5 linked regions of the Tribolium castaneum genome follow. The protein of the gene in region 5 purifies or fractionates together with the protein of the main gene of each other region. This does not show direct contact. Links are inferred from orthologs where the notes say so. Each region holds a gene or a part of one and is shown on either strand. Other genes may lie near its edges.

Region 1 (5,611 bases), on a different chromosome or scaffold from region 5:
TTTTGGATAACGTTTTCAAAAAAATAAATAAATAAATAAATTTAAGTTATTTTGGAACTAAACCGTACGCCACTGATGTGTTCGCAAGTAGTATTAGCTCAGTTAGTGGAAAGTATGATAATTATTTGATGACAATATACTTGTTCAATGAAACAATGATCTTTGTGTACTAGTTTTTTTTTATGAAATCGGCGATATTTTTTTCCAATACAACTAATTTAAACTCATGAGCGCCGTACGTGACACTGATTAAAGGATTTCTGCCCCTACGAAATGAAAACGTAAATATGGTTCAGACATTTTTATAATTTGACGTTTTGTTTTTAAGACAAATTACAAAAATTAAAGATTTTTCAAGAAATTGTATCGCATTAGTGTTTTCCAAAATCATTTATACCATGATTAAAAATAAACACTGAAATTTTTAGCCTGCATTTGAAAAAAAAGCAATTCAAAATGCACCTAAAGTCCTAAAGTGCACTTTCGAACTATGTATCTTTGTGGGGAAGTCCCGAGTCTTTATTTAGTTTCTGTATTTGTACAAGTGAAGTGATTCTCTACAATCTTCTGAACTCGGGGAATACCTACACTAACTTTAAGACAGCCTGTATAACCAATGGTTATAACCGGATTCCATTGTATTTTATACCAATTTTATAAACAAAAATTGTGCTTAACATAATAACTCAAAACATATTTAGCAAGCGGCCAAGGGCGACTCGTCCGAAACCGCGATATCCAAAGACTGCGAGAACGGTGAAACCAACCAGAACCTAACCGAGTGTCCCAACGACCTCAACACCTCGAACAACTGCACCGAAATCAACAAGATGCTCCCACACATCGAAATGGCTCCTCACGAGGAACCCGAGGCCGATTACACCGTTATTATAACCGAGCACGGGGCTGTCCACCATGGCCACTCCCATCTCCATGGGCACGTCCATGCCGCCCCCCAGAACTTCTCGTCGGTTGCATGGATGGTGATTATGGGTGATGGTCTCCACAACTTCACTGATGGTATGGCGATAGGGGCTGCGTTTTCGGGGAGTGCCGCTGGGGGGTTTTCCACCGCCGTGGCTGTCTTCTGCCACGAGTTGCCCCATGAGGTGGGCGACTTCGCCATGCTGCTCAAGGCCGGCATGAGTATCAAACAGGCGCTGTTTTATAACATTATTTCAAGCATCTTGTGCGTGTTGGGGAATTTGCTGGGAGTTTATTTAGGTTAGTTTGGTGGTATATTGTTTTTTTTTTATTTCAATATTTGGAATTTTAGGGAATACGGAAGTTGCCAGTTCTTGGGTGTTCGCAGTGGCGGCTGGAACGTTTATTTATATTGCGCTGGTGGATATGATACCAGAGTTGAGCTCGGCACATGAAGATGAAGGGAATTTGATTCAGTGCATATTGCATTTGAGTGGGCTGTTATTAGGGTTTGGGATTATGACGCTGATTGCGTTGTTTGAACATGATCTTAAGAATATGTTTAGGGAATAATGACTTTATAATTCGTTTCTATTGGCTGTTTTTTATTTTATCTGGTTTTTGATACTGCGTGTTTACTGCAAAGACTTGTTTTTTTTACAATCATCCCCCTTCTTCCTTGTGCTGCTACTTAGGTATTAGTATTGATTAAGACTTACCTATATTATGTAAACCCACATGTAATGACCAGTATTGGTACGCAAAACAATAAAATTTATTTAAATATGAACAGGATTTTATTTCTTCCAACAAAATTATAAACGTAGAAAAGAAAACAGTTACTACATTATTAGTTAAACTTAAACTTTAGATAATTATTGATTACCTTACAAAACTAATTATACTTTTATTTTTTCAGTTTTTTCATGACCGCTTTACAAGTCGCCGCAGGTAGGCCTGGTAATTAAACAAATTAGTCTCAAATTGTAAACACGGAATGTTTTCCATACCTACGACCTTAGACAATTTCCTCGGGGGCATGTTTGGGTCCTTTTCGAGGACAGCTCTAATTTGTTGTACTTTTTCGGGGGTTAGAAAAATTTCCAAGTTGGGTAATTCCGGTTCTCTAATACTACCAGTTGCTCGAAGCCGATCAACCAATTGGGGCACGTATTCTCGTAACATGTCATCGCTAAAAGTGGCCCCAGGAAACTCATTTCTAAATTCCTGAATACACTTTTCTGCAACGGACTCATTATACAGCCATCCTTCATTTTCCTGCCACTGGGTGTTACGGCTGTATGACTCAAACAGGAAAATGTTTTGCTGCGTTGTGGGACATATTGTTTGGTCCATTTTGTCGTATTTTAAAATCAAAATGATCAAAATAACAATTTTCAAATTTTCACTTGACAAATGACAGACAAATACCAACATCACAAACCAAATTCCCATCTTCTGTCAATTGTCAAATTTTAGACACGTACAAAAATCAAAATAAGCCTGATTTTGCCAGTATTTTGCAATTTAATGAAATAAGCTACAATTTGTTACGTTAATTAATTGCCACAAGTCGAGAAAAATGGAAGGAACACTGTTGGTATGTGCGAGTTTTATTTGTGGGGGCCCACAGTACCCGTTTTTACAGGAGCCTACGTTGTACATGGTTAAAGGAATTGCAATCCTCGACAATGACGGCAACCGTATTTTGGCTAAATATTACGATAAAAACGTTTTTCCCACGGCTAAGGAACAGAGAGCCTTTGAGAAAAATCTCTTCAATAAGACACACAGAGCTAACGCTGAAATAATCATGTTAGATGGTCTAACTTGTGTTTATCGCAGCAATGTTGATTTATTTTTTTATGTTATGGGTAGTTCGCACGAAAATGAAGTAAGTTTTTCAGTACTTTATTTATTTTTTGTTAATTATAAATCGTTTCAGTTAATTCTAATGAGCGTTTTAAACTGTCTCTATGACTCTGTTAGTCAGATTTTGCGCAAAAACGTCGAAAAGAGGGCCGTTTTGGACTCACTTGATATAGTCATGTTGGCTATGGATGAAATTTGTGATGGGGGGTGAGTTACACATATTGGATTAATGAAGAAGTTTCCCTTCACTGGCTGTTCCTGGGAACGTACCCCAATGTGGCTCCATCTGTTTTATTGTTGCATTTTTGTTTTACTAATTCATTTTGCTCTGACAACAAATAACCGTAATCCAGAGGGTGATTCTATTAAGGCATACATTAGAAACTTCTTAACTTCCAGTATAGCTAGAGTTTATACAATACACATCGACCATTCCAAATTCAGCTAAAAGTTTAATCGTACCAGAAATTAAGCCTTAAACAAATGTATGTCTGTAAATTAATATTGCCTGTTGTGTTTTATGATGTAGTTTTTTTTCTAATTATTAATAAAAGATGTTTTGTTTCCACAAATTATTTCAAAAACTTAGCTTAATGTACTAATTAACAACTATGTAGTATATGCAAAAATGCACAAAATATAGGGTGTACCTGCTGTAGGTGAGGGGATACTTTCTTCATTATGTAATTTTTTTTAACCTTTACAATGTAAGTTATTTACATATTTTTGTATTTCAGTATTATTATTGACGCTGATTCAAATTCAGTTGTGTCGCGAGTGGCTCTCAGGAACGACGATATTCCCTTGGGAGAGCAAACTGTAGCTCAGGTAACTAATGCAGTCCATTCAATTTTTTGGTGAAGCTTTTGTCATGTTATGCTAAGTGTATGAGGAAAAATTAATTATAAATATGTAATATGTAATAACAAATACGTTTATTTATAGGTAATACAGTCGGCCAAAGAGCAACTCAAGTGGTCTTTGCTTAAGTAAAGTATTTGTGTAAACTTGTAATAAATTTGTATTAGTAACTAGCAATGTTTTTTACACTTTCCTTAATTATCATTTCGTGGACACTATCAAACACTTTTTTAACATTCTGAGTGTCTGTAGCGATAGTGTGGTGGATATAAATATCCCTAGGGGGCAGCTTCTCCTCAGTTACTGTTTTTGTAATTGGATTATAATTTTTCACTGTTACTTGTATTTTCGACATTTGTGTTATCTTCTCCTCGAGGAAGGCTTTCGCATTATCCACCGCAGAACCCAGAGTTTTATTAAAATTTTTGTACTCGGGGAAGTACTTTTCCAATTTTCTCCCGTGCTCTATTTTCCTCTGGAAGAGGTCCTGTTTGTTGAGAAAAACAATCATTCCAGCCTTTCGTAAAAACCGGCTTCCACACATGTCTCTGAAAACGGACAAAGCTTCCTCAAGCCGATTTTTCGATTCATCTTCTCGTAGTGTTTGATCGAAGTCACTCGCTGCGATTATGAATAAAATTGCGTCAATTCCGTCGAAAACTTGTATCCATTTGCGGCGTTCCCCTCGCTGGCCCCCTACATCGTACATGAGGAAATTGGCGCTTCCGCCCCCGTATGTTTTAGGGACTGGGACGCTGAACTCAATCTCCGAAATGGAAGTGGTGCGAATTCGGCAAAACAGAATGTCTTGAGTTGAGGGGATGTAGTCCGGCTTCCTAATTTCGTCAATACGGTCTAAGAAACTGTTATTTATTTAAGAAACCGTTTCTTTTCACCTAAACACTTACTGTTGGGCGCTGTCTATTAACTGGTATTCGTTTGAGCGCTCGAACGTTTTTTGCACTCCTTGATCGTTCCAAAGGCTCTTCACGTTATCAAAATATTCCTATTAAAAAATATGCAATAATTATTCAATTATTAGTTCAAATTGTACCTCAGTGTATTCCTCTAGTTCTTCTGGCCCCAAATCTAAAATAAATTTGGCGCATTCTTCATTTCCGCTCTTCTCCAGTTTTACAGGAGGATTAATTTTATCCATGTTGTAAACAATATCATAGATAGACTCGTGAATATTTTGCTTGATGTATGGAATTTTTTGTTTCTTTTCTCTACATTTTAATTTTTTGGACTTACTCTTGACAAAAAAAGAAATACTCACTCGGTTGAAAATCCATTAATGTGCAAAATTTTCATTTGTTTAATGATTGTAGTTTTTCCAGATTCACCTGTACCCAAAAGTAGTAATTTGGTCGATCTTTTGAAACGTCTGTCATGTTCTCTTTCTTCATCGTTTTCTCTATTTTTGGGACGCCCACAACCAAACATTTTTATTTTTTAACCAGGTTTTCGCATACCTGGGTGGATACGTGATTATACTTTATCTGAAGTTCCCTTCAAATTACTTAATCTTATCTACTTTTTAAGAAACACTTCCATCATACATCAGATTAAAAAATAATAATATGTTAATAAAATCAATGGTTTTTATAAATAAGTACTTTGGTTGTGGCAGAGATAGTGAATAAAAGCTGGAATTACATAAAATATTTGATAAAATATTTGATTTTGAAAGTCTGCGACAAAAGTTGTCTCAACAAAATATTGATAAGGTTTTGTAAAAAGGGTTAATCTTTAAACAATCAGTAATAAAGCTGATAATGATTTAAAGACAAGTGCTTGTTGCCAAATAAGGCAAATTAAAAATCACAAAACGATCTCCAGGAGGCAACCGTTAAATTTATTTGTCAAATAAAATTTTTGTAATTGATCTTATGCGTTTATTACTAATGATAATGATAACATGTAATAATTAAGGCTACTAAAATAACTTTTT
Region 2 (6,468 bases), on a different chromosome or scaffold from region 5:
TTTTTTGAAGGGATGATGTAATCGCGTCCGAATATGTATTTTCAATTGCATTTTACAGGCACAGGCCTCGTAAAATTACATGAAACACCATGTACTCTAAAAAATTACAATACATAATGAAATTGACTTTCCACTATTCTTTAACATTAAAAATTTAAAATTCTGTAGACACGGCCTTCTCTAATTCAGTTTACTTTCTATCTCATGTTAAATAAATAAATAATTTAAATTATGAATCTGCAACAATTTTTTTACTAAATTTACTACTTTTTTGAAAAACTAAACTAGAAAAACAATGTAAATTTACAGTAATTGCTTCTTCATCGTACACATCTTATTTTAATATTTGCGTTCTCCTTCAACTTCAACTTAACAATGTTGCATTTTCCCACTATTATTGTGTATATTTATAGTAAATTTACTATAAATAACTATCGACAGGTGTTACAGATATCGAAATCGAACTACTAGCTTCATTTCATGTTGATTACATGTAGGAGATTTATCTTTTGAAATAAAATAAAAATTCTCCCATCTTGAATCACTACACTACGCATCACTACACAAACATGATGACATGTTACAAGAAAACTTCATTTTCTAAGTTTTCTTTTACGAAGAGTAAAGCTCTGTAGAATTCAAATTGAATGAGAAATGTTTAGCAAAAAACCTTCTAGAAGAAAGATATGAGAATGTAAACACCAAATTTTTCACATTTTGTTCGATAAATTTTCATATCATGCTTTACTTCAAACCACCCTCTAGTCCTGCTAAGTTTAATATCAAAAAAGTAAAAAACACATTTTTATGTAAAGTTTTCTGCTTTACAATTTTTATTTAGAACTCAGACTCTTAGTTCTTACCTATTTTGAATAATTTTGAAGTCACTTCTCAGGCGTCAAAAACAATTTCTTTGATTCAATGTCTTTTATAATAATATATTTCAAAAATTATTGTATACCAGGTGAGGCAACCTTATGGCACACTTAAAAAAATCGCGATTTCTTATTAAATAAATTAAATAAAAAAAATGCATTTAACATGCCTAACTGTGCGTTCGAAAGGCATCTCCCCTAATTTTTTTGTAACTTTCCAGTTACAGATAAAGATAATAAAATTAAAATAATGTAATTTTCAAGCAAGAAGTCAAATTCTGAATTTTATACAAAACTACGCGTATTTACTTCAGATAATTGTTTACGAAATTAGCGAAAAAAAATACCAATAAAACCAAATTAAACCACCAATTAAACACACTTTCACATTTTAACTTTAAAAATTATTTTTATTTATAGAGTTGCTACTTCTGGCGTCGTAAATTTAGGTGATAATGAGAGATCTAATCATTAATAGCTATTTTACATTTTTATCAATCTTATTTAAAAAAATAATTCGGTAAAATGCGACGTTGGCGTTTTTATAGATTTGATACAGCTAGTACTTTTCTCAAACATTTGAATTAAAAGCTTTTGTATGAGAGTGAAAAAACTTATACAAACTGCGAAGAGCACATTAAATGTAGATTTGTCGATTATCGAAGATGTAACGTAATAAGTTTATTTTTTCGACAGCAGAATTAACAAAAAAACAAACTTCATTGCTATTGAACAACTTTACCCATTAAGAAACTTCACTTTGCGGTTAAAAAACTAAATGAATAATTATTTTCAGTAGAATAAAGCACACAGACATCTGCTATAGAAAAAAATACATTATGAGCTAGGATTATGAGTTATTATTGTTACCAACGCACCCCATTCGACTCAAACGACATAGAAAAAAACACTCACCATCTAGAAACAACCACCATCACATTGGTTACATTCAAAATTTGTAATAAATGTAAAACACGCCCTCCGGCGTGCGTTTCACCATCGTCATCGCAGTCTTGGAGAATGGTTCCCTGAGAAGTCAAAATTCTATAAGCTGAGATGTTATGAGTTGCTTGAGCAATTTTTTTATTATCAAGTAAAAAATTCATAAATTCTCTATAACAAAAAATTAAATAGAATATCATTCAGTAATTTGGACATGTAAAATACCTTGTCTCTTCTAATGAGTGAACCCGAGCCATGTGACCCTGAAAAACACTTTTTCTGTCTTGTATAATATCCCCATGTATCACTTGTAAAAAAGTTTCCTTCCTGACTTGTTTCTCTTCAACTTCGCCATTTAAAACTTCTGGCTGTGGAGCACTTAAAACTTCTGAACACTCGTCCACAATTTCCTTTAACTTTTCAATCCACTGAAACAGAATAGGGCTTCCCTGGCTACTTCTAAGAAATCATAGTTCAAAAATAATTGTAAGAAGCATAAACACTTCTTGTTCATACTCGTAAATGTTACCAAATTCATCGGAAATTAGCTGCTTCTGCTCTGACGTTAATGTAGGAGCCAATAACTCAAAACTTGGGGGCTTGCTTGACGGATAATCATCATTCAAAGTTATGAATAATTTAACGTTGGGATTAATTTGAATGCTATAACAATTCGTGTCCGTCTCCAGCCGCCAGTTATCATCGTAAATAGATTTCAAAGCTTCAAGTTCCTCACACTGTTCCGCTAAATTATCCATTTTTTTGGAAAACACATTTTAGTTTTGAGGTTATGTTTACACATTTCTGTCATACGTCAGTCATACTTTGACAGTGCGAATTGAGGTTATGATTTTTATTCCAACAATTGTCTTGTAATAATAAATTCAGTGCCACACAGTATTTAATTACACAAGATGCAGTCTCACCCGAAATTAATGGAATTGCGTCCTGATCGATCATTACTGAACTCTGATTTTGACGGTTATAAGTTGTCTTTGGCCGAGATCCCCACAATTAGCGAGCAGTTAAAAGTACCAGTGGACAGATTAGTGCCTGATGTAAATCAGTATTCGTTGCTCCATGCAAAACTCTTTGCTCTTCACAATCATTTGATTAGCGAAAATGATAATGAATCAGTTTATTTTGTTGATAAAGAGTTGAACGTTCAAAAATTTAGCATTGAATCATTGACACACACATTCTGTAAAACAACCGTGTGGACGCTACCTTTACAGAGAGAAAGGAGCTTTGGGGATTACAATATTTCCCTGAAATTTGCCTCAAGTCAGATTGCCGTTGTAGCAGATGGAATGGGCTATCTTTACGTATTAGACAGGGGCTGCAGAGACATTGACGATAAATGGAAGATACTCTTTTCTGGGGACGTGACAGGTCCTGATCAGAAGTTTGTTGTAACTGATGTGGTTTTTAAAGAGGCCCCAAAACCACATTTGCATTTATTACTAACCAGTATAAGACAGAGGGAAGCGAATGAGAGAAATTCAACAATTTTGCACTGGATAACTTTGGAAAAAAGCGATTCGTGGAACCAAGTGGCTTTGAGGGAACTAACAGTTAAAGGCTTCGTCCAGTACGCAAATTTCGAACGCACTTGTGACGCAGTTTACGTAATCAGCGATGATGGTTGCAAATTCACCCTGGATTCGGAAAATGAAATCAAAAAAGCCGAAGAAATTCAAGTTGAAAAGAAATACAAGTGGAGCCAAACCAGTGAAGATTTGACCATTAAATTTCCACTTCCTGAAAATTTTAAGAAAAATTTAGTCCACGTAACCACCGAACCAACCCACATCTCGGTCAAATACGAAAATGAGACTCTCCTAACCGGCAAATTGTATCACCAAATAGACCCTGATGTGACCTGTTGGACCATTGAGTCAAGCACTCTCGTCCTAACTTTACAAAAGTGTGAATCCGGCCTTATGTGGCCAGAAATCGTCGAAGGTGGCTACGTTTTTGGCGAATATTTGCCAGATCCGGCTTTAGTTAGCGAAATTGCGGCGAGATTGGCCCCACTTACGAGCGATACCGAGATGGGGCCGCCCACAGGGACCACTTTCAACAGCCAACAAGTGGAAGAGTGTGACTTTGAGTGCGATAAATTGACTGTGTTTGAACGAATTTCGCGCGATTCGCATGAGGTCACCCATAAAATCAACTTGGGGTCACATCAAGTCCTGCTAAGTGTTGGGTTGGAAGAGAACCAGCCGTTGGCTGTAGGGATCCGAAGTGATGTTGATACGTGTATCTGGCAGCCGACTAATGAAAATGAGTTTCGATTGGTTCATAAGGGTACTTTGCTAGCGCTGGGTTATATTCAGGTGAGTTAAGATATATGGAGGACTAAAACTAAGTGGCGAAACGAATTTGAAAATCACCCAATTTAACCGACTCGGCTCCAAATTGATTAAGTTAATTTAAATTTATGACTTGCTCAAAAATACTTGTTTAAAAAAATTGCAGGAATGTTGGCTTTTAGTTTTTAATCAGCTGTACAAAACTCACGGCTATTATTTTCAAAAGTAATTTTTTTTATCGAGCATTTCACAAAATTTACATATTTAATGTAAAATTGTAAAGCGTGGTAAATACAAACAAACTCTACAATTTAACAAATACAGATTTACTAATCGATATTCCTAATTACAAAAAATGTTTTTTTAAGGTAGCTAAACGTCGTCAGATTTAAATTGGCAAAACCAGCATATTTTCATTAAATACGTTAACTTAATAATTTAGTAGTGCATTGATGACCTTTTGTTTTTCTCAATCACTTTAAGCTTAAAAGTATCTTCAAAATCAAACTAGAGCAAGAAATCAAGAAATGTTTTTATTAATTTTAGTAAAATATATGAGGCATTTGAGAACACTTTTGAAAAGTAAATTCTTTTAATAAATAGATGTATTTTATTTAATTTTTAGTGTTTCGACTGATACGTGTATAAGTTTTTTAAGGCAAATTTTTACTAAACAACAGGGAAGTTTTATAAGGTGTTAAATAAATTGGTACTTGACCAAATCGCACATAAGAATTAAATACATTTTAATAACATATAGTATAAAAAAAATCACACATAATACGTATACGTGTATAAGTAACTTAACTAAGTTACTAATTAGTAATTTAAAATGTTGTGAAGTAAATATGGTCTCTTAAATTGTCTATAAAGCTCTGCTTTAATTCTAAAGAGAAAATTATAATACAATTTAATTTTTTGAGATATCATAAACTTCTAACGAAAAGCACAATTGATCGAACAGTGATTTTAGAATATGGATTGTAATTTAGTTTTTTATTTTAACCTTTTCATGAACGTTATTCACTTTCGGTCTTTCTTTTATACAGAGTCAGTTTAAAGTAACACATAAAATTCGTAATTCTTTTAATTTTAAAAAATAAGACAATGCAAAAACAGGTAAGTTAGCATTTTAATTGAGCTTAAATTTGACCTGACTGCATCAGTCATGGCGGACAATATGGCGGCACCATGACGTCATCACAGAATTTTTAAATGGAACGGTATAATTTTTCTTATAAAATCAGAAGCTCTACTAATAAGTCTTTACAATATGGATGAACCAAACACGTAATTTTTTTTGACATCATCATTATAAAGTGACGTATAAAATTCATATTTCTTTTATTGTTCAAAAATGAAAAAAATGCAGAAACGGGTAACTTAGCATTTTAATTGAGCATAACTGGATCAATCATGGCGGCCAATATGGCGCCGCCATGACGTCATCAATTTTTTTTTAATGAAACGATATAATTTAAAAAAAAATAAAAAAATTATTAGTCTAAAATAAGGTATAAAATTCATATGAATTAGATGCTATGACTTAATCCAGGTAGGTCAGAATTTAACTTAAACTTAACTTAAAATACTAAGGACCGGTTTATGGAAACATCATTAATTTAATTCGCAATTAAATGGATGATTAACGGATCACGTGACCAAATTGAAGCAGTTTGGTTGGTCCATTCGCGTTGTTAACTTTTAACAACGTAATTAGCTTTAATTGAGCTTTTATTTTAGCTTTTAGCTTTTATTTTAGAATTCCAAAATTTTTTTCCGCGTTTGGTTTACTCATATTCAAAATAAGTAGCACAGTTGTAAACGCCTATTAGTAGAGCTTCTAATTATAAAAACGGTACCGTTTCATTTAAAAAAAAAATATAATGACGTCATGGTGGCGGTACAATGGCCGCCAAAACTGATCTAGTTCAGTGAAATTTGAGCTCAGTTAAAATGCAAAGTTACCTGTTTTTGCATTTTTTTAAATAAAAAAATTCCGAAATTTACTCTGTAGGTGCTTACACTGTTTTTTTAATTCAGTCATTGCACTGCATTGTTTTTCTAATTTGTTTTGGTTTTTAGAATACATCGTTTTAAGTTCATTTTCTTTTGATTCGTCATAAACTCATAAATTTGTGTAAGCGATTTGTCAGACACGTAATTGTGTACATCTTCATTCTCGGATTCAGATATATTAGGATATTTTTGTTTTTTTACACATTTTTTTTATTCTCTCGTAATTAACTTGTAACCCCATTCTAAAATAAGTATCCAGTTTCATAAAAAATATGCAAAGGGATAAGGAAAGCATTTGAAATTCCAAATACGAT
Region 3 (6,643 bases), on a different chromosome or scaffold from region 5:
ATATTTAGATTGGGTGCACATACAAATCTAATTTTGAACACATTAAAATGTGTCAATTGCTTCCACAGGAAAAAGCAATTTGCTTTGATACAGGATATAGGCAACTTGTAAACAATAGTAAGAGCACTTAGTACTTAGCCATATAGTACTTAAGTGTCAGAGAGGAAGATGCAATGAAACATACCTTTTCACTCAGGTAGAGGAACACAATCAACGGTACACATTATTCTTTGGCCATAGAACTGTTTTAAGCCTTTACTACAAAGTTACACAAAGACACTATGGGACGAGATGTTTTTAACAGAATTAACCTAAACATAACACACTACTATAGCTTTTGCTATGGCCTTGGTACGGCCTTGATGAGGCACACGGAAACGTGAACATAAAATGAACATAATAACAGATAAATATAGTAAACTACTAATGTTGATATCAAGGCGCCATCTATTTGTTCTCCACTCTTTACTCCCAATTATTATTGTTAATTAAACTTTATTCAGTAATTGGATCAATGAAACTCGCTGCCCACACCTCAAACAAACTTCCATTACTCCATTTCAAAAGACCCCATTCAAGGAAAATCAAATATTTTGAATATTTCCTCACACTCTACTTTTAGAACACGCTTATATGACCACCAATACTCGCTCTATATTGCTGGTAGATTATTTTTCAAAATTTAGAACCACCCATTTTCAGTCCTTTCACTCCTACCCTTATTTTTGTATTGATTATTTTACACTTTTATCTATTCTATTGTTCTGTTGCTTAAATCACTTATACAAAAAAAGGAACATTTGTTGATTATTAAAGTAAAGTATGATTAAAAAAAAAACACTCACTAAACTGATGTGTAGTAACAGTAGTCTTGTGAGCTTGTGACTGCACATTATTCATGTCAATTGACAAACATATTGATTTCTTGATGAGACAAACAAATTATAAATCCTCTACCACCAATGTTTTATTCATGAAATAAAAAATGCTTCAAACTCAGTACCTAATCATCAATTTTAACACATTCCTATGATGGATTTACAGTTTTCAGTGCAGTCTATGTACAAATTTTTGAATACACTGTAACCACCTAAACGATAATTTTCAAACTAATCGGGGTATTGGAAAATATCGAACTGAAACACACTTGCGTCAGAAAAATGCCAGCAAATAATTGCTCAACAAGATGTGCAAACTGAAGGAAAATTCAAGAGCCAATCGAAAGAAGAGTAATAAAGTAAAGTAATTATTTAGTTTGAGATATTTACCAAACGCACTATTAATAATGGTTTACAGGTAGATAATAAATAACAGTTAATCGTGCTGGCTGATTATATTTGTTGATTATATCAGCTTAAAGTAATTAAAAGCTTCTTGCTAATACTCGTACCTAAAGTGTAAAAAATTAAGTAAACGAATGAATAACAATATCCGACAAATTATTGTGTTAATAAAAAATTATTGTTGTTTATTTTTCTCACATTTACAATTTTTTTGATTACCATTGATTACCTTTAAAAAATGAGAAAATAATATAATATATCGCACAAAAGTCAGACTAACACACGTTAATATTATTCTAATCTTAAATTTTTGAAATTTGACACTTTACTGTGGCATTTTTGTATTGTTTTCTATCTTTAATTAACATTTGCAGTAGCATACAGGAAAATACTATGTTTTTTTCATAGCCTTATCTTATGACTTTATGATAGACAAAGAATGGTTAAAATTTTTTACTTATTAATCAGAATGTAATAAAAAATAACTCTGGCCTATATTTTCGTGATCTGGTAGCCAAGATAAAAATTTTGGAATGTTTGATATTAAAAAAAATTTAAATTTTCAAAATACTTGCAATTTAATCACGATATTTTATTTAATCATTTTTATTGCACTAGCTATACTTAATACTCAAATAACCCAAACCACCCACCTTAGAAATAAAAATAACTTGTAATTCTAGGCCGCAATTTTTTTTTGATATTCAATCAATTTGTTCAGATACATATCTTTACAATATCATAATTTACTATAATCTATTAAGACAATTTAGTTTGCTGAAATATTCTTAGGCCATAGTGGATAATAAAAAACCGAAAATATTTTTTTTTAGTTAGATACAATTTATTATCTGGTTTATTTCTAAAATAATTACGTTTTTTTTTGCTTTTTTTCACATTCCTGTATTGCTATATTTTAGTAGGAACAAATTACTAAATAGCTGAAGCAACAAAAAATATAAAAATAGAGCAGTTATTGACTTATTTAGTTTGATTTTAAGTAACTTATGAGTAGAAACTGGAGCATTTTCGAATTTTGCGCCTAGAGCTGGTGCAGTGAATCGGCGTAAGGTTGGCTGACTGAATACGGTCACGTCACTGTTTTTCTCATTCAACAGCAAGCACAAGTCAACGTCATCTTAAAAAATTAATAGGGTGTAATGTTTTGTAAAATATTATTTTAGTTTTTAGGAACATAACAGCAACAGACCTTTCACAGTCTCTAAAATGGTGAGATAATCTTTCACACACCACACAAATCCAACCTTTCACAATTCCAATTTAAAATTTCCAAGTTGCCATTTTACGCATTTTCTCACGTTATAACATATGATTTCAGGTGCTCATAGCAGCGGCGGTCTGCACTAAGGCCGGTAAAAGTAAGTACCCCACATAAACCACCGAACCATGTGTTGCAACCTTTCTCTGCCTTTCCAGCCATAGTCTCTCGGCAGTTTGTTGAGATGACCAAAGCCCGCATTGAGGGTCTCCTGGCGGCTTTCCCCAAACTTATCCCAACAGGAACACAACACACCTTTGTAGAGACCGACTCGGTCCGATATGTATATCAGCCACTTGAGCGCCTTTACATGCTCCTGATTACCACAAGAGCTAGCAACATTTTGGAAGATTTAGAAACTCTGAGGTTGTTTGCGAAAGTGGTAAGCTGTCCAGACCCATGGAAGCCACAAAAACATCCTCACATTGTCATTATTTTAGATTCCCGAATATTGCCGCTCATTGGAAGAAAATGAAATTGCGGAAAACGCATTTTCCCTCATTTTTGCGTTTGATGAGATTGTTGCTCTTGGGTACAGGGAAAGCGTCAATTTGAGCCAAATTCGCACATTTGTCGAGATGGATTCACACGAAGAGCGGGTCTATCAGGCCGTCAGACAGGTAATAAAATTGCTAAACTGGTAAAATCATTTATTATCAAAGTTTGTACAACAACGGACACGGCTATTATTTCAAATTTGCTATTTCATGATTAGATTGCCTCACAGAAAATAAATTAACAACAGTTCTAGAAATTGTAATGCCAAAAAGTCGTAATTCCAGTTGGCAATACTGAATTCTAATTTTAAACAATGTAACTGAAGTATATTTCTGGTTAAGGTTTTGGATTCTGTCATCAGTGACAAAAAAAGGGAATTTTTTGGTTAAAAATTATTAAAGCCAAGAAGTTGTAATTTCAGATGGCAATACTGACTTTTAATTTTTAACCATGTAACTCAGTATATTTCCCGGTAAGATTTTGGATTCTGTCTTAAATGAAAGCGGTTTGAAAGAAATAAACAAAATGACAAGTTTTCAAAGATTTTGTGTTAGTCACAGCTCTTAAAGTAATTTTGGTAATAAAGCAAATAACTCAGTATTGCCAATAAATTTTTTAAGATGTTAAGTAAAATTCCTCCCAATTTTAAATTTTTATTTGAGGTATAAAATCAGATATAATAAATTTTTCGACACATTATTTCATAGTGACCCAGTAGAAGGTGAAATAAAAATTAATTTGCTGTTAAAAGTTAATTTAACAGTTAATTTGGTAAGTGATCACTGATCAGCTGTTCTAACGTTTAAGTGAACGAATTCATCGCTAATACCTGTCTCACTATTTTTTTTTGTTACCCTGATGGATTTTATGTTGAAAATTAATAATGGTATAATGAACATAAAAAGAATTGCTGTAAAATCTAGAGTTCTTATAATACCATAATAATATTCCGTTTCACATCAACATAAAGAGACTATGCTATTGTTTGTATAACTTGTTGATATACCTACCAGGTGAATAAAGAGAATGAAATCTAACGTGTTTTTTTTTGCTTAAACTATTTACTTTTTGGAAAAACTACTAGCAGTGTGATTAAAGAAAATGTTTATTTTTTTGTATGTGTAGTTTTTGAATTTTTTACGACCCACTTATTTATCCACTGGTTTAAAAACTATGAAAACTTAAAGACAAGCGTTATTAAATTTTTAAATTGCTTTTATTTACAATAAATTCAAGATTTAAAGTTTCACGAAAGGAAAAACATCTTATTCAGACAGAATGTTTAGCTTGGGCATAGAAAGCCATTTCCGATATTTCTGCACTTTTAAACCTCCTCACGGAGGTCTTAGGGCGAATAAAATAGAAACAGAAGACATGAGACATCTAACATTTGATAGAAAGCATAATATTTCTTTTAGAGCCCTTTCCTATAATTGAATTAAGGCATGCTGTTTGTATAGATTCGAAACCAATGTAATTTCTGATTTACGAACTGACTCCTCTTTAGACACAAGAACGCGAAGCTAAAAACAAAATGCGTGAGAAAGCTAAAGAATTGCAACGCCAGCGAATGGAAGCCAACAAAAAGGGCGTCAAACCATCATTTGGTAGCAGTGGAGGCTTTGGTAGCTCATCTGGTTATACTCCAGCCCCTTCAGTCGGCGATGTTGCCAATATTTCAAACGATATCAAACCACCAGCTTATTCCTCCGCTCCTCAGTATGTTAAAAACATCCAAAAAATTTTTTTTTAAATTGATTTAATAGGAAACCTTCGACTCGAGGAATGAAACTGGGTGGCAAAGGCCACGACGTTGAGTCTTTCGTAGACCAGCTTAAATCCGAAGGCGAAAATGTCATTGCACCAGTTAATAACAGTATTTCACAAGGGGGAATGAAAACACCAGCGATCAAGTCCGATATTAATGAGTAAGAAAATAAACAGAATAGAGTAGAAAGTGACTTGAATTATTTCCAGTGTTCACTTGAGACTGGAGGAAAAACTAATCGTTCGAATGGGCCGTGACGGCGGTGTGCAACAATTCGAGTTGTTGGGGTTGGTGACACTGCACATTGGGGACGAAAAGTGGGGGCGAATTCGTGTCCAGTTGGAAAATAAAGACACGCGTGGCATCCAGCTCCAAACTCACCCCAATGTAGACAAGGAACTTTTCAAACTGCGTTCCCAAGTACAAACAAACCAAAAAATTATTGTTGATTAATTTCGTTAATTTAGATTGGGCTCAAACAACCATCCAAACCATTCCCGTTGCACACAGACGTCGGTGTCCTGAAATGGCGATTGCAAAGCACAGATGAGAGTTTAGTGCCTCTCTTGATCAACTGTTGGCCGTCGGAAGTGGGCGATGGCAGTTGCGACATCAATATCGAGTACGAACTTGCCGATCCGAATTTAGAGCTGGCTGATGTCAATATTTTGATTCCGTTACCGTACGTTCATAAAATGTGATCCCAGTATTTTATTGATGTATTATTTTAGGATGGGTTGTAACCCGGTTGTGGGCGAATGTGATGGCTCATACACGCATGAGTCAAGACGTAACCAGCTAATATGGAATCTACCTATTATAGATTCAAGCAATAAAACTGGATCGTTGGAATTTAGTGCGCCCCGATCTATTCCTAACGACTTTTTCCCGGTGACAGTTTCTTTTAGTTCGAAATCTGCTTACGCAAATATTAAGGTGAGTTTTCCTGTTTACGTCACCAGCACGGCGAGTGCGTTAGTAATAGGTCGTGGTTTTAAAGACGTTTTCTCGTTTCAGATTCTTGATGTATTAATGGTGGACGATGATTCTCCTGTTAAGTATTCTGTTGAAACTAGCTTGTTTCCCGACAAATATGAGATAGTGTAAGTGTCACAGTAGGTTACGATAGTTAATGAAATTATATAATAATAAAATTCACTTGTATAAATACTACTAATATTTTATTCGTTCTTGCTTTTTGTACAAAATTTTAAGAAGTTTGTTTTAATTTTTATCTATTATATAAATAAAATAAGTCAGGAGTATATTTATAACCCGTTGTTTCATTCCCGCCAAATAAAAAAAGACTTGCTTGAATAAAATTTTATTAAATAATAGTTAATCACAAATCAATTATGAACTACACAGAAAAATCAAAAGCAAAGTGCATTTATTTTGGCAGATTTTCTAATACCTTTTGAGCCAAATAATCCGTTGCATCACAGGTTACTGTTTTTTTTGGTGCGAAAATCTATTTCATGAATCGTTTGTACTGTTGTAGAAATATAAACATTGACAAACACAGTCTTATATTCTTGGACAACACAGAAGGTCCCCTATTCAACTTCAGTGAACAAAATAAATTAATTTGTGTCAACATGTCTCTTTTATTTACAATTTATGAACACAATTTTTACGCTTAAAGTGATTCAACGCAAATTTACGGTCGCAACTGCAAGAAAAATTGTCACTCTGAAAAATGTACGACACATTTGTACTTCGTCTATCATTTTCAACTGTCCTAGAACTAGTTCTAAAGTATCTTACACAAGTGACCTAGGGAATCAACCAAAAATATATTACAGGTCACTGCAC
Region 4 (4,954 bases), on a different chromosome or scaffold from region 5:
TCTCTTATTAATTTTTGTCCGCTCACAATAGAAGCGCATAACAGCTTGAATTGGCCTCTAAATTCACTCATTTCTAGTTCGAAACCAAAATTAAACGGGCAGGAATTTTGCGCTACTTATGCGACCGCCTCTCCCGAGAGTCCTTGCTAATTTCTCACACAAAACAGGGAAGGAGCTGGCGATCCAGAATTCATCAAACGTCAAGATCAGAAGCGATCCGACCTAGATGAACAACTTCGCGAGTACATCACCGAATGGCGCAAACAGCGCGCCAAGGAGGAAGATGAGCTCAAAAAGTTGAAGGAGAAACAAGCCAAGCGCAAGATCAGCCGCGCCGAAGAAGAGAGGAAAATGGCCGAGAGGAAGAAGCAGGAAGAAGAACGCCGCATCCGCGAGATTGAAGAGAAGAAACAGCGTGATATTGAAGAGAAGAGGCAGCGGCTGGAAGAAGCCGAGAAGAAGCGCCAAGCCATGATGCAAGCCCTGAAAGATCAGAACAAGAACAAAGGACCCAACTTCACCATCACCAAACGTGATGCTTCCGTAAGTTGTGCGAATTGTGCGTAAGAACGATTCTATGACAAGGTTCTAGTCCAACTTGAGCGCGGCGCAGCTTGAGAGAAACAAGACCAAGGAGCAGCTGGAAGAAGAGAAGAAAATTTCCTTATCCATTCGCATCAAGCCCTTGGTGCTTGACAACCTCAGCGTGGACAAGCTCCGGGAAAAGGCCCAGGAGTTGTGGGACTGCATCGTTAAGCTCGAAACTGAGAAATATGACTTGGAAGAAAGGCAGAAACGCCAGGATTACGATGTAAGCCCGCAAACATAATATTGGCACAGTGGGATAACGTAATTTTACAGCTTAAAGAATTGAAAGAGAGACAAAAGCAGCAACTCAGGCACAAGGCCTTGAAGAAGGGCTTGGACCCCGAGGCTCTCACCGGCAAATACCCCGTACGTGTTATTAATTCTTGTGTTAAGTGTTTGTAATTTTGTGTTTTGTAGCCTAAGATCCAAGTAGCGTCCAAATATGAGCGTCGTGTCGACACCAGATCGTACGACGACAAGAAGAAACTGTTTGAGGGTGTAAGTATTACAAAAGTCAAAAAAAGGACCGATGATTGCGTTGTGACCGTTTCTGTTAGGGCTTTGACCACCTAAACATGGAACTTTTGGAAAAAGTTTGGAAAGAGAAAGTGGGCGAGTTCGAAAGTCGGTCGAGAAGTAAGTGGGCATATCCGTTGTGTTGTGCCCATTTTGCTATTAATCACTTGTCTCGTGTCCTTTTTCTAATCACAAAACTGTACTGTGCCATGTCTGAGTGTGCGTTTTACGTTTTAACAGGGTTACGAAGAAATTACCAAGGAAACCAATGAAAAACTCTGGAAAGACAAAATTGGGCAATTCGATTCGAGGCAAAAATGTAAGAGTTGCTGCTGGTTGCTTATTTGTGCCAATGTGGGCAAGGGCGGGTTCTGAAACGTTGTATTTTAGCCAAACTTCCCAAATGGTTCGGTGAAAGGCCCGGCAAGAAGAAGGGCGATCCTGAGACCCCTGAGGGCGAAGAAGAGGGCAAACACGCCGCCGATGATGATGAAGACATCAAGGAGCCGGTGTTCGAGCCCGAGCCAGAAGAGGAGGAAGAGGAAGAGGAGGTTGAGGTAGAAGAAGAGGAAGAGGACGACGAGGAGGAAGAAGAAGAATAAGCAAGCGAGAACATCGTTTTGTCCCGACGTCCATGATGTACTTTTTATCTTATTTTATTTTCGTTTCCAATAATAAACTGTATTTATAATCAAATAAATATCGTTACATCAAAACTACGGAGGTCTAAAGGTTAGGATACGAAACCACGTTCAAATAAAACGGTCCCGTCCTTGATAGTTTCCTTAGTGCCGCCAGAGAGCGCAGTCGTTCATTATCGTCTGTTTTCTGAGCAATGAATTTTATAAATGATAAAGCATTAAACATAACGCAAAATTTATCGTTATTTATATTTAAAAAAAAAAACTTCTACCAATTTGCACTTTGCCAATATTTTGTAGCGTTTTGAAAAATACGGCACGAAGCGAAAATGTTCTTTTTTTTCTCACGTTTCTTATGAAAATTTCAGTCATTAGTTTTTCTCACAGTGACTTTATTTTAGAATAATACAGTTTTTCTCAGAATTGGTTGAATTTAAATTAATTTAAAGAGTTGGCGCTGAGACGGTATAAGTACTCTATTTTTTGGATTCAGAAAAAGCGAGTTTTCCGTAATCAAAGCCATTTTTTCAAATAAACTTTATTAATATTAATACGACCATAAAATACAAATTATGCAGCGATAACTTTACTCTGTTGCCCCTTCTGTGTCATATTGATCTTGTCACCCAAACTCAGAGCCATCCCCTGCAACAACAAACTCAGCTGTGATTCACACTCAGTGCTACCAACCTGACTCTTGGCCCTGATCCTGATATGTCCAGTAACGGGTGCATCAGGTTTGTTGAACGGTTTTTCAATACTCAAATTAGCGAGAGCGTCCTCTCCAAAGATTGATTTTGCGTACATATTGGCGGCCATGAAACCGCACTGCCCTGACAGGGCCTTCTCCGGAGTCAAACACTTCATGTTGGTGCTTTTGATCAAGTGCTTCAAATATTCCGCAAGGTCGGTTAAGGTCGTATTAACCGAAACCTTATTCTCCCACTCGAACTCGGCCCACATTTGCCTGAACTCCGAGTCGCTACAAGTGGCCGGGACTATGTAATCCATAATATCAATATGGATGTCGTCCAGGACCACCACGTTTCGGTCGGACGCTGCTCCCGTGACGTCATAAACTATGTTCCCGAAAATAATCCCGTTTTCGGTCGAGGCCACTTTCACGTTGGCCTTAATGTTGCAGAAGTCTTTGGGCGCCAGAACCACCGGCTGCGGTTTTTCCACGAGTTTCAAATCGCCGAGAGTTGCCAACTCAAGGGTGCAGTTTTGTAACGTATCGTTGGTCTGGTTGACTATCAAAACGTCCAAAACAATATCATACTGGTTGACATGGACGTAGGCTTCGGCATACACCGGGTCTGAAAAGCCGGTCAATTGAGTCACTTTGTTCAGCTTGTTAACCCCAGTGCTTGTGTCACTGCCGCCGACTCGGCCCCCAACCAAGGCTTGTGACAAGGACGTTTCGAAGACGTTTTCACCCAATTCGCCCGACTTGTCGGCTTGTAATTGCATAAAATTGATCGGATCGTCGGCTTGTATGACATTACCAGCCTTTTCTTTCGCTTTCTGATTGAGTGCTTCTTCAATTTCTTTGGCGACTAACATGTCGTTAAGTGCCTGTCGGCACAAGTCGGTAAAAACCTTGATAATGCTCGGCTGCCGGTCCGAAAGCACCCGCAAGCAGAATAAAACGTGGTCCTTATCATCATTGGTCATGGCCTTAGTTGGCAAACCCGACTTCCCCAAGTGAATAATCCCGGCCATGATCATCATAACTTCGGCATCAAACCGATTCCTTTCAACCGCATTTTTAACCGAACTGCCGTACCTTAGAGCCAGTTTGGTCAAAGTTGAGGCGATCGCAGCCCCGATAAAGAAATCGCCGTCGATTAGATACTGGCGAAGTGGGGGCCGCTTCTCTTTTGTGCTTTTCCTAAAGCTTGATTTACAAACCGGGCTTTTCTCTCGACAAATGACTACTTACTGAACCGTGTTGAAGGCTGATTGGGTGGCGTAAGTTCCGTCAGAAGTGACGAGGGTGCTGGAAGCTTGTGTTGGGTTCGGTTGGGTGACTTCTTCCGAATCTCCGGCCACTAGACGTTGCTCCGCTTCCAGAAGGGGGCCCTCGCCTAGGGTTTGGTTGATGGCTTTAAGTACGGACTGGATGTCGGCCACAGTTGTTGCGTATTCGCCTAAAATCCAAAGGGCGGCTCGGTGGATTTTCACCGATTTTATGTTGGGGAAAGCTTCGAGGAGTTTCTGGAAAATATTTTTTTAAGACAAACACTCGGGCATCATTGAATCTTTTTTTCACATATATAAATTTTTGTAATAATGTTAATAAATGATTAAAATTTAAAATTATTGGTTTCTTATTACGTGATTGTGGATTGTTTTACCAATAGTTTTTGCTCCCATAAACCAAGAAACGCAAAATAGTTCAATTTTAAAGAGACGTTGCGTTAACATTCTAAGGGCAACGAAACTAAAATCTTTCTTCATTAAATAATTAAATTTATTAAAATTAATTTAATTAATTATATCTTGGCCCCAAACTGTCGCTGGGATAATTTTCACCATATCACAAAATTTTGGTCTCACAATTAAAATTTAAAAGTAAACCGTCAAAGATAAAAATATGGAAAAAGGTATAAGGAAGCAAAGTTTTCTCATTTTTTCGGCGTTTTTCACAAGAATATGAGCGTAAGGTGAAGTAAATAATACCGATTGTTTGCTGTCATTTTGTGTCGCAGTGGCCATAATTTTTATTAACAATGTTTTTCGGCATAGCAATGCTTTTTTGATTTAACCAGCTTCTTATACATGTTTGAATATGTCATATAATATGACTTTTCTTTTTTACTCGTAGTAATAAAACGCTCAGATACAGTGAAATTTAATAAAGCTTTATAACAATATTTAATAATTTTTTCAGAAACCTAACGTGATGAAGTACATAAGAGACACGTATTAAATATCAGAAAAAAATCATGTTTATTATAATAAGTAAATCAACCAAGTCGAAGTTCACCAATTGCTCTAAATTGGAATGAGTCCAAAAATCCAAAGTGGTTGTTTTCTCAAACAGGCCAATCACAATGCGTATTAATACTTACGTTAATTAATAATTTTTTTGCTTCTACTCATCGCATTGGAAATGACGTAAGACGAAAGCATCATCTTTCATAAAAAAAATCGACCGAAATGTGACCCAGATATTTTAATTAGATGACCTTTTCATGATTTTC
Region 5 (6,761 bases):
CATTTTTCGTATAAATAGTTGTTTTCAGCTAACTTGAGCAAAGTTTAATCATATTTTAATAAATCTGCCAACACAAGTGACTATCACTCAAAAAGAATGGTTGGATTTTCAAAAAGGAAACAAAAAAGCAATATTTGACCGTGTTAAGTGATGTTTGAGCGAACAAATTTCGCAAAAAAATGCTCACAAAGTCAACGCAAAGTCGCTATTTCGCTGCCAAAAATTTCACTTTGAAGATTTCAATTTTAATTTTTCCTACTACCATCACTATCTTTTAATTATTTGGATTTATAATTAGAGAAGGTAGCTTTTTTTGTGTGATTGATAAACTAGTGCAAATTGTAGTGAAAAAAATTGAAGATAACATCCACAAAAACATTCGTTCCAATTCTTGCCTAAATTCTGATTGTGTAAATTTTAAAGACTATTGTTCCAACAAGAAGCAAAATGAGAAAAAATTACCACTAGCAGAGCCTAGCTAAAGTGACAGCGGTCCCATTTTTTTTTGTTATAACTCGGTCAACTACTTTATTCAAAGTCCAAGCCTTTTTTATTTTATTTATTATAGAGCTGTTTGTCTCTGTAAATAAATAAATAAATTTCGTACAATCCGGTATAGTCTTCAAATACTCTTAAATACCTCATACAACTTTTTTTGAACATTAGTTGCCGAAAAAAATTTTACAAAAAAAAATGATGGACCCTGGCTTAGTATGTAGTAAAAAAACATGTTTTAGGCAAGACCAAGAGCCGTCTGCGTCCACAAGCAACGCTGAAGAAAGACAAAGTGAAACTTCTGCATGCGTTACAAGTCTGTACAGTCACCTAACAACGTTGCGTAACTTAAGGGACGGCTTTATAGAACAACATGGTTCAGAGCCTTCAGTCAGCCTCAGGTATTCTCAGCAAAGCACGGCCAATGCTACGATCAGTTTAAGAGTTGGTAGTAGATAACGAATGGGGGGACAACACAACACAACCTTGACCTTGAGTTTGACCCCGCCCATTTTCCCTCTCTTTCTTTCAAGGTCACTCGTTCTCTCTTACTTTTTCAAGGCCAACCCCTCCCACTTCCCCCCACCATTTCAAGGCCAAGGCATTATTGGACCTTGGTGTTTTCAAGGTCAAGGTCATTCATGCTACTCCCCACTTTTCCAAGGCCAACAACTCCTCACTCATTCAAGATGAATCGCGCAATTGTCCTTACTCATTTTCCACCCCAAACTGTATAAAAGTTAATGTGTTGTGTTGTGTAACACAGTTCTTGTGTATATCTGCAATAACAAGAAATTCTTTAAAAAATGGAAGTTACAAGGAAGTGTTCGATTTATAATACTCCTGGTAAGTTTAATATTTTTTTAGTAGTTTAGTTGGAAATAATTTTTTTTCAGAGGATGTCATAGTTTGTCCATACGACAAAAACCACGTACTGCTCTGGTTTCGGCTTGAAAGGCACATTTGGAAGTGTCATCGGGCCGATAAAGAAAAACAAAGGGCCTCATGTGAAGTGATGTTGAAAGAAGAAGAGGAGAACTGGGATCATTTCAATGAGCCCAGCTACCTCGACTTCCTAAAAACTAAAAAGAATCATAATGCCTTAAATTAAAGAAGTAAGTTTTATTGAATCTTTTTCAGCAGTAATTTATTGTGAATTTTTTAGGGCCGGGGTTCTTTAGTAGAAAATAGTGTAGAATAAGTTTAGCTAAGTAGTAGTAGTCGTAGTAAAATGTAAATATTATATTATTGTATAAAAAAAATAAAAGTTGTAAAAAAGCTACATGTTTTTATGTACACCTATTTCAACCTACTGATACAAGTAAGTGTGACCTGCAAGCAGAGAGTCGCTCACTGTTTCAATGACAGTTGGCTATCCAAGGTGCCGGAGGACAACAGCAGCAATTTGTTGCAAAATGGGTGATTAATTTTGCTAAGAGAACTGGCTTTTCAACCTTTTGCTCAACGTGTGGACAGATTCAACATTTGAAAAATAAATGTTCCACCAGATGCAACGACACAGGTAATCACTTATAATTTAGCGAGTAACAGTAGTATTGAGACCTTAGAGCCAATTTTTTGAGTATTTTTGAAAGAAATTCACGAAATTGCGGGTCTCGAGGAGTCTTAAGCAAACTCGTTCACATGAATTATTTTTTAATTTCAAAGCACTCTAAAGTTTTTTTTAAATGAACGCTTATTATTTACTCCACTGTACCACTGTACTGTAGTATTAGCATCTACTTCATTTTTATTATTACCACCCAATGAGAGTTATCGAAAATCGGAAAAATTGAAGAGAACCGAAGTGAAAAGCTTTACAAAATGGCATAGGTTTCAAGGCAATATTTCGAAAAAAAGTTTTCTATTTTTAATCGTCGATTACGGCCAAAATAAAAGAGCTAAGTAGGAGGAAACGCTTTTTTCCATCGTAAAGAGTACATCAAAATCTATCAGATAAGATGGATTTTAATAATTGATTTTGAGACACTTGGCCATTTTTAAAGGTGGGGGGGTTAATATATTTTTTAATTTTTTCATTTTCTCAATTACAGCAAAATTATCCGAAAAAGTGGAACTATATTGATCCTAGTTTTTGTAAAATGATGCGGGGAAATATCTAGTTTTTTAATTTAAAAGAAAACCTGATTCTTGTTCAAGTTTAACCTTGTTTGCAAACCTGCTGAAAACCAAAAATCCCTAAATTGCTACGTGTTTCGTGTCGTGTTTTTTTATGTTCGATAAATGTCAATATTGGTTTTGTGGAATGTGTTTTTTAATCCAAAAAAATTACTTAAGGTACTTGTCTATTGGCACAAATACTACTTTTGGTGTGTTGTTATTTACTACATGTATTGTTTCTTTCAGTGATTTTATAGATTACTGTATGACCTAACTTATAAATTTCCAAAGAGAAACATAACCTCAAAAGACACGTCAGCTAGCTGGGGATTTTAACCAGTTTTCAAAATGTTGACCAAATTTGAAACAAAATCAGCCCGTGTAAAGGGCCTATCATTTCATTCGAAACGTCCTTGGATATTGGCAAGGTAAGTTTGTAGTTTAATAAATCTAATCATTTTTTGCGATCATACAGATCATGGCACAGCGGTATTTCTGGCTCAAAGCACATACCTATCTTTTGTATTGAAACATTAAAATATTTGTCGTACATTTTTTAAATCTTCACTACTCAAATTTGATATCAATGTTGGCAATTAATTATCTGGGTTTGTTTTATTCTTATCTGTTAGCAGCCAACTACTTGAATAACACATGGCCGGTTTACGGAACAAGGGGCTAAATAGGGTTTTAAAGTTTCAGGTTATGTTCACAAAGGGGTTTTCAATTTGTATATGTCGTAGTCTTATAGTGAAATTAGGCGTATTATGAAAGCCTAGTCATATTGTAAACGACTGGGCAAATTGTAAATGAATAAATAAATGTAGGGTTTTTAAAATGCAACTGAAAAAATTTTAGGCGTATTATAAAACGCCTAACCAGTTTTCGTCTTATTGTAAAATACCTATGGTTCATTTGCAATACGACTGAAACAAACCTGCATTATTTTGGAGTATTATAATGCGCTAGTCAGTACTACTGAAATTTAACTTTATATTATAAATTATCGTCTTAAAATGCTGGAAGACACGAAAAGCAATGTCTTTATAGCAATATATTTATTAATATAGGTTTGTAATATCAAGAACTACAAAAAATTAGCCTAATTATGTTTACATATATCTTGTTCAACATTGAGATTTATGAATGCGCGAACTTTTTTCCAGCATTTTTTCACTGGACACATTTCGAGCTCTATTGTAGCACAACAAAGCTACCACTATCTAATTTATCAGAGCCGGTCAAAGCGCCAACTTTGCATAAAGGAACATCAAAACATTAAACAAATTTACCAAGTCTATATAAACTTAACAAGATTTGTTATAGTTTAGTTTCTTTACATCGCTGACCGGTCGTGGTCGAATTGGTTCCCAGTAATCTCTATAAGTATAATTCTGTAAAAGGTAATGGTCGAATTGGTTCCCGGGTGATGGTCGAATTGGCTCCCGCATGAGCAGGTAGGTAAAAAGGATTAAGCCAAATATATGTTAATATTTTAGATTTAAAGCTTGTAGAAATTTTCAAATAATTATTTTCTTGGCACAAAATCCAACAACAAATTTCATTTATTCATGGCTAACTGGTTATTTAAAAAAAGGAGAATTTAGTAATTTTTTAAGCCCAATGCTCTCCTGTAAATTTCGTAAAATGTTTCGTCAAGCAATGACTATTAAGACATCTCACATGATGACGTTGCGTTCGTTAATATGTCTATTAATACTATTAAAGCATCAAAATAGAGACAAATTACAAAAATAATTTTAACATTTTTCGACATAGTACCCATTAAGTTCTATGCGCCTTCTTCATCGTTTTGGAAGTACTTGAATACTCGAAGAAATATTTATCCGCAGCCTTTAAATTGTTAAAATACGATTTGTTTTTTAACGTTTTGGAACTTGTAAATTTGTTCATACACTTACAAACGCCATTTCTGTTATAATACTTTAATCTGTTTACCTGACCTACCTGACCGATGGGAACCAATTCGACCATCCCCGGGAACCAATTCGACTCGTCCCAAAAATTTACAGTGATAACGATAATTGATAAGTATAAAAAGAAAAAATAACCTCAAATTCAAAATACTACAGGGTGAATTAGTGATAATAATAAATAAGTATTTCAGAGGGTTATAGTAGTAATAGTAGAATTCAAAATAAGCGAAAATAACAACTTCTCTTATCAGAATGTTTACAGTTATTGAGATATAAGAGAGTTTTTGTCGACGAGTAAATTTAAATTTAGAGTGCAATTTTTTTAAATTTTTTAAACTACCTAACTACATTAGAAAGTGGAATTTTATAAAATGTTTGATGGCATTTTTGGTTCTTTTACAAAACGACTAAATGTAACCCAGTCTAATTGGACGATATTAAAGACCATTTTACATTAAGACGAAAACTTGTTAGGTGTTTTATAAATTTTATAATACACCTAAAATTTCCAATAGCATTGTAAAAATCCTATATTTATTCATTTATTCATTCATTCAATTTGCCCAGTCGTTTACAATATGATTAGACTTTTTATAATACGCCTGATTTTACTATTAGCCTACGACATTTATACCGTGACTTATACCAACCTATACACAGTATGATGATCATTGGGACGTCTCCATATGTGTGTAAAAAGGCGCACTGTTCACTCACTTATAGAAAAATATTAATAGCATTAATACGTAATCATTTTCATCACGTTCAGGTAGAAACAAATGTCGCATTTTTTTTTTAAATTCATTTATCTTGAACGATATACACAGAACAGAGGTAAGAATGTGCTGTAAATTGTAAAATGCTAACTGCTCTTTTCTATCACATACCGCCAAACAAGTTTGCACAAGTCAGCTAAATAATGGTGTTACAATAATAATGCAGTAAAATTAAATTTAATAGAAAAAGACGTTTACAATAAGTGAAACTTTAGTTTTAGTTAGCAAAAATAAAATTTAAAAAATTTCAAATTTGTTTTTGATAAAAAATTCAATTTAAAAGATGCACTGAAAAGTAAAAAATAATATTTTTCTATTAGAGAAGAATACTTCTGGTTACAAGTTGGTATTCTAAAATTTATAAAAACTCTGGGAACGGTCATATCATAAATTATAAGTCATAGTCACAAGTCATAACAATAAGGCATTACAGAATTAGTTTCTTGAATTCAGCACTGTTCCCGAAGCTTTTATAAATTTTAGAATCCTAACTTGTAAGCAAAAATATTCTCCTCTGGGAGAAAAACATAATTTTTTACTTTTTAGAGCATCTTTTAAATAAGATCTTTTTTCTAAAAAATAATTAAAAAAAAATTTTCTTAGTATCATTCTTTACTCCCACACAATTAATGTTAGGATGACAGGGCTAATGAGTAATGAGTAATGACTAATGACACTCGAAAACGAATTCTCATACAAGATATATTGAATAATATGTATAGGGGGTGTTGGTTTTTTGAGCTCCACCATGGGGATCTCAGTTATTATAAGACCTACGTGGTCGGTTAAATTAGGGCAAAGTTGCGCATTTATATGCTGAACAATTATCTGAAAGAAAATTTGATGTGTCTAAAACTCCAACAATTAATCATTTAATTTAAATTAACGAAAAAATATTTATTGTTTTATAAATGAGCTGGCAATGAATTTTGTCGAATTTCTTTGATATAATATTTATTAATTTAGCTATCATTTGTCTTACAAATATTTTAACGTAATTTGTTACAGACGAAATTGCTGTTGATTTTATAAATTCTATATAAATTGAACAAAGTTAAAAATGAACAATAATCTTAAAACAAGCTATTTTGTTAGGTGGACGAATAACAATTAGTTTGTTACTCATTAAATCATTATTGATTAACGTATTAAAGGTGAATGGGTTTAGACAGGATTAAATAAAGATTAGAAAAACTTTATTTTAATTTTCTTGACCAGGTTAAACAAATAATGCACTAAACCATACATTTAATTTTGTAAATTTATTGCGTTGGTGAAGATGATCGGCTGTTAATAAATTTATAATAAAAATCTCAATCTTCCGTGTAATTTTGAGGTGAGATGAATTTTGTTAACTTGTAAGGAACTCTTAAGTCACATGGTGATTTGATTATGGTTAATGACTATAAATACGATTTCTTAATGTACGAGG

Evidence for each region.
Region 1: the proteins of alphaCOP (region 5) and zetaCOP fractionate together in Homo sapiens (co-fractionation; 6 studies listed by BioGRID and IntAct, with this or other methods). This does not show direct contact. The link is inferred for Tribolium castaneum from reciprocal best matches to the Homo sapiens genes COPA and COPZ1.
Region 2: the proteins of alphaCOP (region 5) and nudC domain-containing protein 1 purify together in Homo sapiens (co-immunoprecipitation; 3 studies listed by BioGRID and IntAct, with this or other methods). This does not show direct contact. The link is inferred for Tribolium castaneum from reciprocal best matches to the Homo sapiens genes COPA and NUDCD1.
Region 3: the proteins of alphaCOP (region 5) and deltaCOP fractionate together in Homo sapiens (co-fractionation; 4 studies listed by BioGRID and IntAct, with this or other methods). This does not show direct contact. The link is inferred for Tribolium castaneum from reciprocal best matches to the Homo sapiens genes COPA and ARCN1.
Region 4: the proteins of alphaCOP (region 5) and betaCOP fractionate together in Homo sapiens (co-fractionation; 6 studies listed by BioGRID and IntAct, with this or other methods). This does not show direct contact. The link is inferred for Tribolium castaneum from reciprocal best matches to the Homo sapiens genes COPA and COPB1.

What each region holds. Positions count from the first base shown.
Region 1 is NC_087396.1:16,250,471-16,256,081, forward strand, and holds zetaCOP (coatomer subunit zeta-1), read left to right. Parts: upstream 1-2,360; 5' UTR 2,361-2,506; coding exon 2,507-2,524; intron 2,525-2,572; coding exon 2,573-2,818; intron 2,819-2,869; coding exon 2,870-3,003; intron 3,004-3,533; coding exon 3,534-3,624; intron 3,625-3,709; exon of another isoform or gene 3,710-3,741; coding exon 3,742-3,789; 3' UTR 3,790-3,820; downstream 3,821-5,611. Other genes in the region: zinc transporter foi, read left to right, coding at 702-1,224, 1,277-1,497; Galphaf (guanine nucleotide-binding protein G(f) subunit alpha), read right to left, coding at 3,821-4,520, 4,566-4,663, 4,712-4,886, 4,937-5,103. UniProt on the Homo sapiens protein: The coatomer is a cytosolic protein complex that binds to dilysine motifs and reversibly associates with Golgi non-clathrin-coated vesicles, which further mediate biosynthetic protein transport from the ER, via the Golgi up to the trans Golgi network.
Region 2 is NC_087394.1:22,047,773-22,054,240, forward strand, and holds the start of nudC domain-containing protein 1, read left to right. Parts: upstream 1-2,731; coding exon 2,732-4,159; intron 4,160-6,468. Other genes in the region: protein IMPACT-B, read right to left, coding at 1,791-1,988, 2,043-2,276, 2,334-2,575.
Region 3 is NC_087394.1:32,202,030-32,208,672, forward strand, and holds deltaCOP (coatomer subunit delta), read left to right. Parts: upstream 1-2,357; 5' UTR 2,358-2,510; coding exon 2,511-2,513; intron 2,514-2,622; coding exon 2,623-2,662; intron 2,663-2,720; coding exon 2,721-2,944; intron 2,945-3,002; coding exon 3,003-3,182; intron 3,183-4,567; coding exon 4,568-4,779; intron 4,780-4,826; coding exon 4,827-4,988; intron 4,989-5,037; coding exon 5,038-5,248; intron 5,249-5,295; coding exon 5,296-5,510; intron 5,511-5,559; coding exon 5,560-5,764; intron 5,765-5,845; coding exon 5,846-5,935; 3' UTR 5,936-6,102; downstream 6,103-6,643. Other genes in the region: hfw (protein halfway), read right to left, coding at 846-893. UniProt on the Homo sapiens protein: Component of the coatomer, a cytosolic protein complex that binds to dilysine motifs and reversibly associates with Golgi non-clathrin-coated vesicles, which further mediate biosynthetic protein transport from the ER, via the Golgi up to the trans Golgi network.
Region 4 is NC_087397.1:6,602,559-6,607,512, reverse strand, and holds the end of betaCOP (coatomer subunit beta), read right to left. Parts: intron 3,966-4,954; coding exon 3,691-3,965; intron 3,640-3,690; coding exon 2,436-3,639; intron 2,391-2,435; coding exon 2,316-2,390; 3' UTR 2,234-2,315; downstream 1-2,233. Other genes in the region: up (troponin T), read left to right, coding at 168-543, 593-811, 862-954, 1,006-1,086, 1,345-1,423, 1,495-1,706. UniProt on the Homo sapiens protein: The coatomer is a cytosolic protein complex that binds to dilysine motifs and reversibly associates with Golgi non-clathrin-coated vesicles, which further mediate biosynthetic protein transport from the ER, via the Golgi up to the trans Golgi network.
Region 5 is NC_087403.1:717,388-724,148, reverse strand, and holds the start of alphaCOP (coatomer subunit alpha), read left to right. Parts: upstream 1-2,662; 5' UTR 2,663-2,793; intron 2,794-2,862; 5' UTR 2,863-2,964; coding exon 2,965-3,044; intron 3,045-6,508; exon of another isoform or gene 6,509-6,761. UniProt on the Homo sapiens protein: The coatomer is a cytosolic protein complex that binds to dilysine motifs and reversibly associates with Golgi non-clathrin-coated vesicles, which further mediate biosynthetic protein transport from the ER, via the Golgi up to the trans Golgi network.